Linked DNA regions of Mytilus edulis. The protein of the gene in region 1 interacts with the protein of each later gene in a pairwise test. Links are inferred from orthologs where the notes say so. Each region holds a gene or a part of one and is shown in the gene's direction. Other genes may lie near its edges.

Region 1 (6,321 bases):
GGCATGACACGGGTTATGTTCTTCTCATATATGTTATGAATTGATAATTCTTGTGTACAATTTGGAGTTTAGTATGGTGTTCATTATCACTGAACCAGTATATATTTGTTTAGGGGCCAGCTGAAGGACGCCTCCGGGTGCGAGAATTTCTCGTTGCATTGCAGACCTGTTGGTGACCTTCTGCTGTTGTCAGCTATATGGTCGGGCTGTTGTCTCTTTGGCACATTCCCCATTTCCATTCTCAATTTTATATTTTATTCTTTCTTAGTTACGTAACCCTTATAGGGGCATAAACTGACAATTCATGTTCATCGATTTGAGTGACTCAAATTCTTATATTTGATCACAGGCACTCGTCTCAGAATTTGTTTTCCCTACCGTATATTCCTTTATATAACACAATTAAGTACTTAACTTCCGATTTAGAAAATTGCCGGACGGTGACGAAATTCTGTTATATACCGATTTCTCGGCTGTTCCGTTTTAATGGGTTTACACTAGTAATTTTTGGGGCCCTTTATAGCTTGCTGTTCGGTGTGAGCCCAGGCTCCGTGTTGAAGACCTTACATTGACCTATAATTAATGGTTTACTTTTATAAAGTATGTCTTGGATGGAGAGTTGTCACTCAAATCTTCCTATATCTATCAAACCCATGTAATAATAATTCAATTGCAAGCGAACCATTTATCAGCGATGTTTCTTTACTTATTATAACAAAATTGAACTGTTATCAATGATTGAATAAAAAAATCGTTTATTTTTTTCATATCTTGTACAGGTATTTTTTTCCACCAATCAATATACATTGCGCCCAAAATTTGAGCTACACAATCAAAAAAAGTAAAAACACAAAAATACTGAACTCCGAGGAAAATTCAAAAAGGAAAATCAAAAATCAAAAGGCAAAATCAAAAGTCCAAACACATCAAACGAATGGATAACAACTGTCATATTCCTGACTTGGTACAGGCATTTTCTAATGTAGAAAATGGTGGATTGAACCTGGTTTTATAGCTAGCTAAACCTCTCACTTGTATGACAGTCGCATCAAATTCCATTACATTGTCAACGATGCATGACTGACAAAATAAAGCCCAGTAAATGATTATTAGAATGATTAGAGTGATTAAAGTACATTTAAACAAAAATGTCGGCACATGTATACGATGCTAGATTGAGAACTGGTCAGCCAGAATATTTCAGTTGATACAAATGTATTTACAAAGATTAGTTGGAAACTGATTGAGTCTTAATATACGGAAGTGATTATATAGTTTGAATTTATTATAGTGCAATTTTTATATGGATAAAACACATACACCATTTTGATAAAATTTGGGAAATTTTCTTTTTGGGGGATGTTATATGTATCTTTATTGTATGGTCGTAGCTATGGAAATAGATGTGGTTTTTTATGCTCTTAAGCAAATATAACTTTAGCGGCACGGGGAGGCAAGTATATTTTCCCCCATGTACGTAATACTAATTTAAACAAAGTAATATGTTGGATAATCAACATTGTCATTGACACATCGATCATTCAGTAATTTTGGAAGAAACTGTGACTTGGAGAAAAAAGTAAAATCACAAAAAAAATGAACTTCAAGGAAAATTCAAAAAGGAAAGTCCCCAATCAAATGGTAAAATCAAAAGTTCAAACACATCAAACGAATTGAAAACAACTGTCATATTCCTGACTTGGTACAGGCATTTTCTTATGTAGAAAATGGGGGATTGAACCTGGTTTTATAGCTAGCTAAACTATAAATTATAATTCTTAATATATCATACATGTCCCAGCGAACCGAAACGTGTGTATACTGTATACGCTTAATGTGTCCCCTTACCCCAGTTCCCTAGACTTATGCTTATGGTAGACAACTCCTGGTCGAGTTTTTTTTATTTTTCAAACTACAAAAAAATGATATTTTCTAGAAGTTTTTTTTTTTTTTAAATTGCATATAAAAGTTTAGCGACTCAATTGAGGTTTCAATAAGGCCTTACGTAAAGCTTAATTAAGCAGCATTCATATAATAGATTCCTCTAAATAAATAATGTATTGTTACTGCCGGTTTCTAAAAGTTATTGTGTGAGTTGCTTAGGATCAAGTTTTCTTTTTTAGCACAATATAGGAATTTAGAAAAAAAAGTCAGAAAAAACTACTAAAAGCACTGACTTGCAATATTGATGGAAAAGGCCGTATGTCAGTTTTACTAGGGGGATTAAATGAAAATTGTGAAATATTATGAGGGATCAAGAAATTTTATATGTTTGAATTCAAAATGACCAGCCCCCCTCCCAGGTTAAAAATGATAAGTCCCTTTAGAAATTGATTTAATTGTTTATACCTTTTTTTAAATTAATATATGTTTGTTTTTTATTTAAAGTTTGACTGGTTTACACATAAATTTTACTGTTTCCTATCTCAGTTTCCTGGTAAGATTTGTTCACAGAATGGGATAATATTAGAAGTCATAGGCGGATTTTTTTTTTTGGGGGGGGGGGGCAGGGGGGAAAAATTTGGTTGCTTATATAGGGAATCACTGAAGCGTTACTGGAGCGGGCCCCCTCTTAGGTCAGTCAGTGGGCCCCACTTATGAAAATTTCTGGATCCGCCACTGGAAGTTTCAATTTATTTCTTTTAAACAGATGAATCCAATATTTAATCATATTCATAAATTATTAACATAAAAAACGTGTAGGAAGTGGACCTAGAGTCTTTTGATGCAATATCTGATTTTTATTTAATTCTTACTCCAAGTACAAATTTACACAGCTTAACAATATCATCAAGACCGGAGACGAATATTTTAGGTGGCGAATCTGTCTCTTAGCGATACGCGCCGGTAATAATATATTGGCGTACGCCAAAGTACACTGAAACAAGTTAACCTCAACATAATAAACAGGAAGTAGTAAAAATGGCAGAAGTAACGCAGCTTCTTGATCAAGAAATCCCAGAAGGTCGCCAACATCTACAAGAAAGTTATATAAATCTTGACAAAGTTGCACAGTATTGTAGGGACAATTATCTAAAGGTAGTCCTTTATTTCTTCAAAAACGCCAGTTGCCTGCGAACAACACAGGCTCACAGCTTCCTATTCTCACTCAGTCACAGTCCTCATGAATAGCATAATTGTTAATTCACTCTTGAAGGGGTTCTCATTTTGGGGTCTGGTCCAGGATCCCTCTTATTGTTAAGTGAGAATCCTGTAATCTCAAATGTACTTCTTGTTGCCAAAATAGCGCATGTAATTTCTTGTGTCCCGCAGGACTTCATTTCCCGTTTTCCGCTTAATGATTCTACTTTCAATCGTCACACGATCCAATGACCAATCCCACCTCACGCTTAGACCCCAATGAGACTCACTTAAAATTGGTAAGTACTACAATGTATAAAATGGAAGAGATTGAAAATAAAAACAGAAAAACAGACATGTGCAATTTCTAAATTAACATCAGTCACCACTCCTGTCATTCATTGTTTTATATAATCCCTGAATGAAATATTTTTCACCTAATAAAATGCTAAAACCTTACACATTTGCCAAATAGACCTTTATCATGTTTATTACTATTTGAAAATCTGCTCTGCTTGACCCAAGAATCTGTGCCTCTTGAATATACACCTTATCGCTATTTGTCCGCCATTGCTGGAAATCACACAGGTTCCCGTAAAATTTTGACGTCATAAAACTAAATATCTGACGCCACAATGGAAAAGTGATTGTTGTTGACGTCAAAAGTTCAAGCGGCCGGGTCAGCCGGGATTAGCGATAAGGTGTATTGACATCATACATTTTACAACAATCAATTTACCATTGTCAAATGATTGTGGGGGTCTCATTGGGGGTTCTGATCCCGGATCCGGCTTTCTGTTGTGTCAGATTCCTGTATCCCGTTTACACTATGTATGTAAGCAATTCACATTTTTTTTGTAATTTCCCGTGTCCCGCTAGACTCCATTTCCTGTTTTCACAGCACAAGAATTTGACTTCCATGTGTCACGCTTACAAAAAATCGGCAATCCCGCGTCACGCTTAGACCCCAATGAGACCCACATTGTGGGGTCTGATATTTTCTATTATCAGTGTTCTAGCTAGAAAGTTTGAACAGGGCGCAACGCTCGCCCTTTTTTGTTGACGCCCTAGCTTTTTTCTGTGGTTTCTCTGGCGCCCTGCCGTTTTTATGGCGAAAATCTCGGCATTTCTGCCTTTAAAATACCGACAAATTCGTAATTCTTTCATAAACAGGAAGTTCACCTAGCTGTGTAAACTGTACAATTAAGTGACCCATTAAGTGCATGGCTTCACTTGTCAGCTTTGATGTCAAGTACATTGTTAATTAACAACAATTACCTTAGCTTTTATAGGTCATAAATAATTTTTTAGAACTCAAAAATGTTTGACAAAAAAAAGATTGTTACTTCCCCTTTTTTGTCACCTTTCACAATATTCTTCTTACAGTCAGGGGACTTACTTAAACAAGTGATTTTCTAAATCACTGATTCAAGTAACATTATTTCCATAAAGGTTGGAAGTTAGAGTTTTCTTTCTTTAATAATCGCCTATTTAAGTAGTACAAATTAATCACTAGAAGAAGTGATTTAATATTAGTGTAGCTTTAAATATAGAATACTAATGATCCAGGGACTAATTATGTTTCTAAACAGTAAAACTTATCAGAACCAACATCTGTGTTGTCTAGGATGACCAGGTCATTTCAGGTGATGACCTTGTACTGAATCTAGGATAATGACATAAAAATCACTTGTTTAAGTATCAGACCTGAATTTCCTTCCCAAAAATCACTTCTTTAAGTATCATTCTTTTAATAACCTCCACTAATTTCAACACCCCCGAACAGTGAAATTTTTATCGCGAACAGTAGCATTTTATTACACAATCTGAAAGATGAAACCTTGAACTTCACAGGAAAAATACCCTCACTGCTGTGAAAAATCTTTTAAGAAAGTATCAGTTCATTATGTAAAGCCATTATTATAGCATTTTTTCAACTAAAGTAGAATTTTCAGGTAAATGAAAGCATCAAAGGCATAAAACTTACTAATTAAAAGATGTTACTTAAACCTATGTGTTTAAAATTTTGAAAAAACTACAAAATCCCAATTTGTGACAAAACCTCGAATTTGCTACTCAAATAAGTGATTTAAAAATCACTTATTTGAGTAAGTCCCCTGACTGTCTTAAGTTTTATGTTCTTTTTAAAAAAAAAGATTGAATTAATAACAAATTGAATGCAAATGCATTTTAAAGTATAACTTTTAATTAAGTTTACCTAAAAAACCTGAATAATAAATATTTTTAAAATTATTTTTCACATCTTCACTTCCATTGATTGATTTATGAAGTGCATTAAAAAATAATTTGAAATAAGAGTGTTTTCCAATTGCCTTGACTGTCAACAGTTGCTCTTGGCATTGTACATTATGCCCTTTAAACAAAAGTAAATGCAACAAAATATTTGAGGTGATTGAGTGAGTAAATGTACATTGTAGATGATACCCTGATATTAAAAGTTAAACATAAAACATGGTGCCATTATTTAAAATTTATTACTCAATTTTTACTGAAAATTGATAATACCATAGTGCCTTAGTTATATACTAATTAATTATAACACATAAATAATTGCCCTTTTTAATGACATGTACTCGTTAAATTGCCCTTTTTAAATCCTGGCTAGAACACTGATTATGACATCAAAATTTTCAGTGATGTCCATGCCAGTAAGGGCTGAAAAATAGATAAAGATGTACATGATATAGGCCACTTCACAGTTAAAAATGTATTTCAGCCATATTGAATAGGGGCAGATTGTTTTGGATAGAAGTGATAGAAGTGGAAATAGTATGAAAGTATGGAAATACTATATAGATAATTATAAGAAAATGTGATATGAGTGCCAATGAGACAACTAACCTTTCAAGTCACAATTTGCAAAAGAAAAACCCTTAGACAGTGGCAGATCGAGATTTTCATAAGAGGGGGGGGCTTCAGTCTTGCTTCAGTGATTCACTATAAAATCAACCAAGTTTTCCCCTTGAAAAGGAGGAGGCTCAGGCCCCCTGGATCTGGCTATGCTATAGGTCAAAGTACAGTCTTCAACATGGAACCTTGGCTCACATGGAACAGCAAGCTATATAATATAATAAAGGACCCCAAAATGATCATGATGATGAGTGTAAGACCATTCAAACAAAATCAACGGTCTTAGCTATATTATAAACGAGAAACACTTACATGTATGAACCACATCAACAAACCAGGAACCACATCAACAAACAACAACTACTGAAC
Region 2 (6,321 bases), on another chromosome or scaffold:
ATGGATAAATTTAATAAGTGAACAATTGAAATTAAATGTTTGTTTAATTGTTTATAAATCTGAATCCTATTTTGTTACTCTGGCCCAAGGCGACACTTGCTCAGTAACACATGCAAGGAATGTCATATTTTTTTTTTACATTATTGCGAACCCAATTGAACCTTTCAATAGATTCACCTGATAGTTACCTGTCCATTTAAACTTTTGGCCGTTCTATTGTCCCATTGAACAAATACAACAGGTATTGTTCTCTGTATAGTCTATTCACTCAGACCTTTAAATTTCTTCTAAGAGAAATCGATCACTCATTGATTAATCTACCAGAGTAAAAAGTTTATCTGCTAAATTGATGGAAATTACAAACAAACCGCGCACCGCGATTAAAATTTTAAAAACTTTAACCACAGAGTGAATGTAATGTTTCCTCGCAGAAAAACTAAGTCCATTTATAAGTAAAATACGGAAAAGCGGAAATTTATTTTCACAAAATTTTCTTCTTGATACTATCTTATCATCATAAACAAGCTTCTGTCCAAGTATGGTACAAATCAAGGATAGTTTATGAAAGTTATTAAAATTTTAAAAACTTTAACCACAGAGTGAATGTAATGTTACCTCGCAGAAAAACTAAGTCCATTTATAAGTAAAATACGGAAAAAATAGAATTTTATTTTTACAAAATTTACTTCTGGATACTTTCTTATGATCATAAACAAGCTTCTGTCCAAGTTTGGTAGAAATTCAGTATAGTTTAAGAAAGTTATTAAAATTTCAAAAACTTTAACCACAGAGTGAACATTTGTGGACGCCGCCGACGACGAAGGAATGTAGGATCGCTTAGTCTCGCTTTTTCGACTAAAGTCGAAGGCTCGACAAAAATGGGTGCGAAGGTATAGTTGACCATTATCTACTGGATTGTGAAAATTATGAGAAGGCTAGAGAAAAACTCCTCTCTGCACTCTACATGTACTTCATAACATCAAAACTTACACTTGAATCAGAAGTATTATTAGCAACAACAGAAAATGATAATTACAAACATCACATAGAAGATATTCAACATTTGTTAGGGGTCTTTATTAAAGATACTGGAAGGTTCACAAAATAGATAGTTACGGTTTTATAAGGGTTAATTATTTATTCATTTATTTGTTTACTTTTTTTTAGTTAATTAATTATTTATTTATTTATTTGTTTTTCTCTGCAGTGCCACATCATAAAAACAAATATACAAATGAGTTTTATACAGTAGCGACATAAAATTACCAGGATGATCGAAATTACAGAGAGATTATAATGTCAAGTTGACACTTCTAAAGACTACGCGAACGTACTTCCGGAGCGAACATGAGAGGTGCGAATGTGTAGGCTGCAAATACGAAAGTGTATTGGGCGCGAACGGACCTGATACCTACTAATGCCCCCGAAGTATCCAATCTAGTTTTAACTCCGGTTTGCATACCAGATATTGTGTGGGAGGGTAAAACCATGGAAATATGGCGGTCATGTCTTGAAAGCAATCTCACGGGTACTCGTAACTGACATCAGGTAGCACCTCATTCAAATATAAAAGAGGATACAAATTAGAATTTTGGGAAACAGATTATCTGGAAAACTTTTCAAAATATGGTTGTCATACTTTTGTAAATATTTCTGGTGCTGCTTTCAACTGAATCGTTGAAGAAATAGCATTTTGCTGATTTATTGGTCTGAGATGGGCTGTGAGATCCTCTAAATGATCTTTGTTTTCATGATCTGAATTGTCTTCATCACTGCTATATTGTTGGAGTGCCAACATTTTAGGACATTTTCAATAATTGGCGTTGAAAGAGTAAAACTAGGCAAAAAACGTTTCAAAAAGCATTAACCGGAAACTAAATGAGTAAACAACAGTATCGAACAAAAAGTTTACTGCAGTAAATGAAATTAAGTTTTATATCAAATTTTATTTTTTCATTTATTGTCTGGTTTTGTTAAAGTTTTTGTAAATTATAGAAATCAATTGAATGAAAGGAATATTTTCTTAATGAGGACTTCAATCAAATTTATGTCAAGTCTCGTTGATAATGAGAATGCATGATAATTAACGAGATTTCATCGCCATTTTCTTGACTTCCCGGATTGATGATGCTGTATCGTAAATATTTACATTTTTCCAATCATGAAGTTTGAATGCAACTGGTGAGCATGTTTCTATATCACAAAAGAATCATTTGTTCGAATAACCACGTGAAAAATCATGCCATTTTTCTTAACTACTCAAAATTTATTATAAAACTTGGGTGTGCCAGTGACCTGTTTTTGTTTTTCTGCTGTCATCTTTCAGGTCGAATCCAAGAAATGTAGACAGATTTGATCATTTCAAGAATATGTTCATAGTTACACATTCAATCTTTTCATACTGATCCCTTAAAGCATCTTCATATCTCAATACACAGCTCAATTCGTAATCAATCATTCAATGCAGCTTAGGGTCGGAATGTTAAATTATCCAGATAAATTTTTGTAAAGAGTAAACCACAAATAATGGTGTAGTCCTGAATTGGTTATCAGTGATGTGAAAGACCACTCTTAAGTTGGCTGCATTTCTGTCAAAACTTTGGTCTAATTGTCATATTGAACATCATTTTTGCGTTTTTAGGGCATCATCACTAATGTCACTTGGGCCAGTCACCTGTTCCATGCTGTCGCTGGGCAATCAATTGTAATGTTGTTCATAATTCTTAATCACTTTGTCTTAACCTGAACCTCTGTGAAACAATGCAGCGAGTATACTTACATAGCTAAATCCAATCTCACTAGGGAATTATGATTTTAGTACAGACGGAACTAACAACATGAACAATAATATCATGTATGGCGGTTTTTAAAAATAAAATGAGACAGATGCAGCTGAGATGCATTATATACTTGCAACAAATTTTATTATAAGATATATATGAACAGTACACTGAATTCATTGTTATGACCATGATGACATGTATGACTTTGATTACAAATTTTCATGGTTATAGTGGTATCAAATTAAAGGAACCAGAGTTTGCTAAAATTTATTTTGACCTTTGACAGTAAGACTGTCATGAATGACATGTCAGTCCCAGGGATTTCCATGGCCTGTTTAACGATGGCCCCCCCCCCCCCCCCCCCAGTGATATTGTTTGCCTCAAATTACAGCCGATATTCGGCTTTTTCCCCTAGAGGAAATTCCCAATCACTAAAAAAAATGGCTTAAAATTCCTACCAAAAAGTTAAACTTTTTCCCAAAACAGTGAAGGCATTGATAGTAATGTTTGTAAATATCGTATTCATGTCATTATTTTGATATTAGAAAGCACTTTTGAGATCCGGTTTTCTGATCAGAATCAATATGGTGCTTGTAACACAAGTGGTTTTCAATGCATTTAAGTACCAACATTGCTTCTGTTTCTTTCCCCTCTCCGAAAAGTACCTTTCAGGTTCAAAATGTCTGACAACCAAAATATCCACGAAAAAAAAGTGCAAAAAAGACAGCAAAGGTCAGTAAAAAATCGGAGATGTGTTTAGAATAAAATATACAAATTTCCCAATTTCAATAAAAAATATCGTTTTTCCCAATAAAAAACGGTAGAGGTAGTTTTGAAAAAAGACAACAATATCACTGCCCCCCCATCTTTCAAATGTCTTGCGCCATCGTCAAATGACTTGCACCATCGTCAAATGACTCGCACCATCGTCAAATGACTCGCGCCATCGTTAAATTGTCTTCCGCCATCGTTCAAAACTTCATCATTTTTTGTAGCCCGACACTATTTTTTTTATCATTTATAATCAAATGCATGTAATTGCATAACCCTTAGGCTTTTTATGTTATAATCCAATACAGTTCTAACGCCTGAGGGATATCCGGATTAAGATCGCTAATCACTTGTACCTGAGCTTGTACAGGTAGATCAACAAATCAGACAGGAGAATACTATCTGAGGATAGACGATCCATTTGTCGAATTAATCAACTAAGTTTCAGCAAATGATCGATGATTATGATAATTTAGATTAAATAAATAAATTAATAATACAGTTACAAAGAAAACAGTTTAAAATGTCGAAACACATGCTTTTTCTTGACTTACGCAATTAGCATCCCCCTTTTTTAAGAAGTACAAAATAAGACGCAAAACAGTAAATATTTATTTCATTGCAACTAACTCAAGTACTGCTGTAACGATAATTTAGAATTACTTTAAAAGTTTAAAAGTAAAAACTTAAATATTTCCTGTAAAGAAATATCGTATCGTAATTCCGAATTCATTTTGTATATTACAATCAATATTGATACATCCGTGTTTCCGGTTTGTATTCAGACTCGAAAGATGGATGTTGCACAGCATCAATTTGCCAGATACAGTCATTAAAAACCTTTTCATTTGTCAACGTTTGCTTTACAAATCTCTTTAACCTTTAACATAACCCGTACGAATCGTTTTGTTGTTGCTGCAAATCAGCCATACCGTTAATGGGTTATGAATTTGACAGTGTCCATGAAAAATAAGCTCCACATCATATGATTTTTAACCCCCATAACAATTACCAAAAATACAAGAAATCTACATGGGGACCTTCATGACAGCTTTTGGTCATTCTCGACTAAGGGGACCATGAAGACTTGGCATTTGAATGGTTAAAAACGGCAATAAATGAAAATATTGATACATTGTACTTCTAATTCTATAATGAAAATTCAAATAAATATAATTTAAATAAGCAATGAATTAGCATGTTCATCATTCCTTGTATGGAGGTATACAATACTTCCGATCGTGCTACACTGTACAGCATAGACACTGTTTGTAATGGTGAAAGTTCCTCCATCGTTCAATTTTCATCCATGGAGATCCCTGAACTGTCCTACAGTAAATTTTCCCTGAAATATAACAAATTGTAGCTTGCCGCTTTGGTTTGTTTATAATAAATTTCAGAAACCAGTACCAGAAAAAACGTACTAGAAATTGGCTGTGGGTACATTTGATGAAGGATGTAAAATAAACCATGTTTATATCATAGGCACTGCAACAGCCATTTTTGAATAGGTCATTTGGGTTGCTGCTTGCGATCAAAATACCAGATCAAGTATCACTTTGAATCTCATGACTCTGGAGAAACCACAACTTGAAATGTGAAATGAATTACACATTTTTTATTGTAATGTATGCAACCTTAAGCAAAACCACAAAATTAAATATCCACGAAAATGCGAGTTTTCCTCAAATCCATGAAAATTAGTACGTTGACAATTGAAAAATTATTGAATACACAATATTCAACATGTTCAACATGTTCAAAGGGACTGCTCTCTGTTATTACAGCTTTTACATTAATGCTAGCAAGACAAATCTTTGTTTGGCTTGCTTGCTTTGTTTGAATCAATGTTTGCTCAAGCATGGCAATTAAGATAGGCGGGGTTTCAGCTTGTGTACATCATGATACTTAAATTTAATTGGACGTTATGTTTGAGGTAAAGGACCTTAAATTTTAAAACATCACATGACAATTATTCTCACATGTTTCCTTACCTGTAAATATACGATACATTCGTCAAAATTATCTCCCTATTACGTCGATTCATTCTCACAATCGATCGTAGAAATGGAAGATAAATTTTTTTTTCGAAGATATGCATTGTCATCATCCAACTTAAAAGACTGTCGTCTATAACTTTTATTTAAAAAAAAAAGTTTTTCGAACACACCTACTCTGATTTTGTGATTCATTACACATGTTACATATGTATTTCACTTGACCTATATATTTCATCTTTTAGTACTGTGATTTTTTTTATGTTATAAAGTCAACCTGTAGCTTTGCTATATAAAAATGATAGAATCTGATGATGTATCAAATACTCTTGCTTAGTACGTTTTTAAGACAAAATATTCATTTCAAACGCACCCTAACATAAAAATGTGCACTCGATTTTCTCTTTTCAATACCCATTTTTTGGAATTTTTTCTTGAGTCACATAATGGAAGGGAAGACACGAAAGTAACTGAAATAACAGTTAATAAAAATATAAACTTTTTTTGCACTCGACGCAAAACTGTGGAAGGCCAGTTTCTCAGCCTCATACAAGAAAAAAGTTAATATTTCTCTTTCATTGACCAATTATTGTTTTTTTACAGGTAAGGAAACATGTGAGAATATTTCTCATGTGATGTTTTAAAATTAAGTCTCCTTATTTTTAAACCTCAAACATAACGTCCAATAAAATTTAAGTATGATGTACAGTGATGTATACAAACTGAAGTTCCGCCTTTCTTAATTGCCATGCTTGAGCAAACATTGATAC

What was found.
Region 2: the proteins of abl interactor 1-like (region 1) and actin-binding protein WASF2-like interact in a two-hybrid assay, tested with the Drosophila melanogaster proteins (2 studies listed by BioGRID, with this or other methods). The link is inferred for Mytilus edulis from reciprocal best matches to the Drosophila melanogaster genes Abi and SCAR.

The regions. Positions count from the first base shown.
Region 1 is NC_092345.1:44,932,312-44,938,632, reverse strand, and holds the start of abl interactor 1-like, read left to right. Parts: upstream 1-2,884; 5' UTR 2,885-2,922; coding exon 2,923-3,039; intron 3,040-6,321.
Region 2 is NC_092353.1:60,953,813-60,960,133, forward strand, and holds the start of actin-binding protein WASF2-like, read left to right. Parts: upstream 1-2,087; 5' UTR 2,088-2,181; intron 2,182-6,321. Other genes in the region: pre-mRNA-processing factor 17-like, read right to left, coding at 1,640-1,798.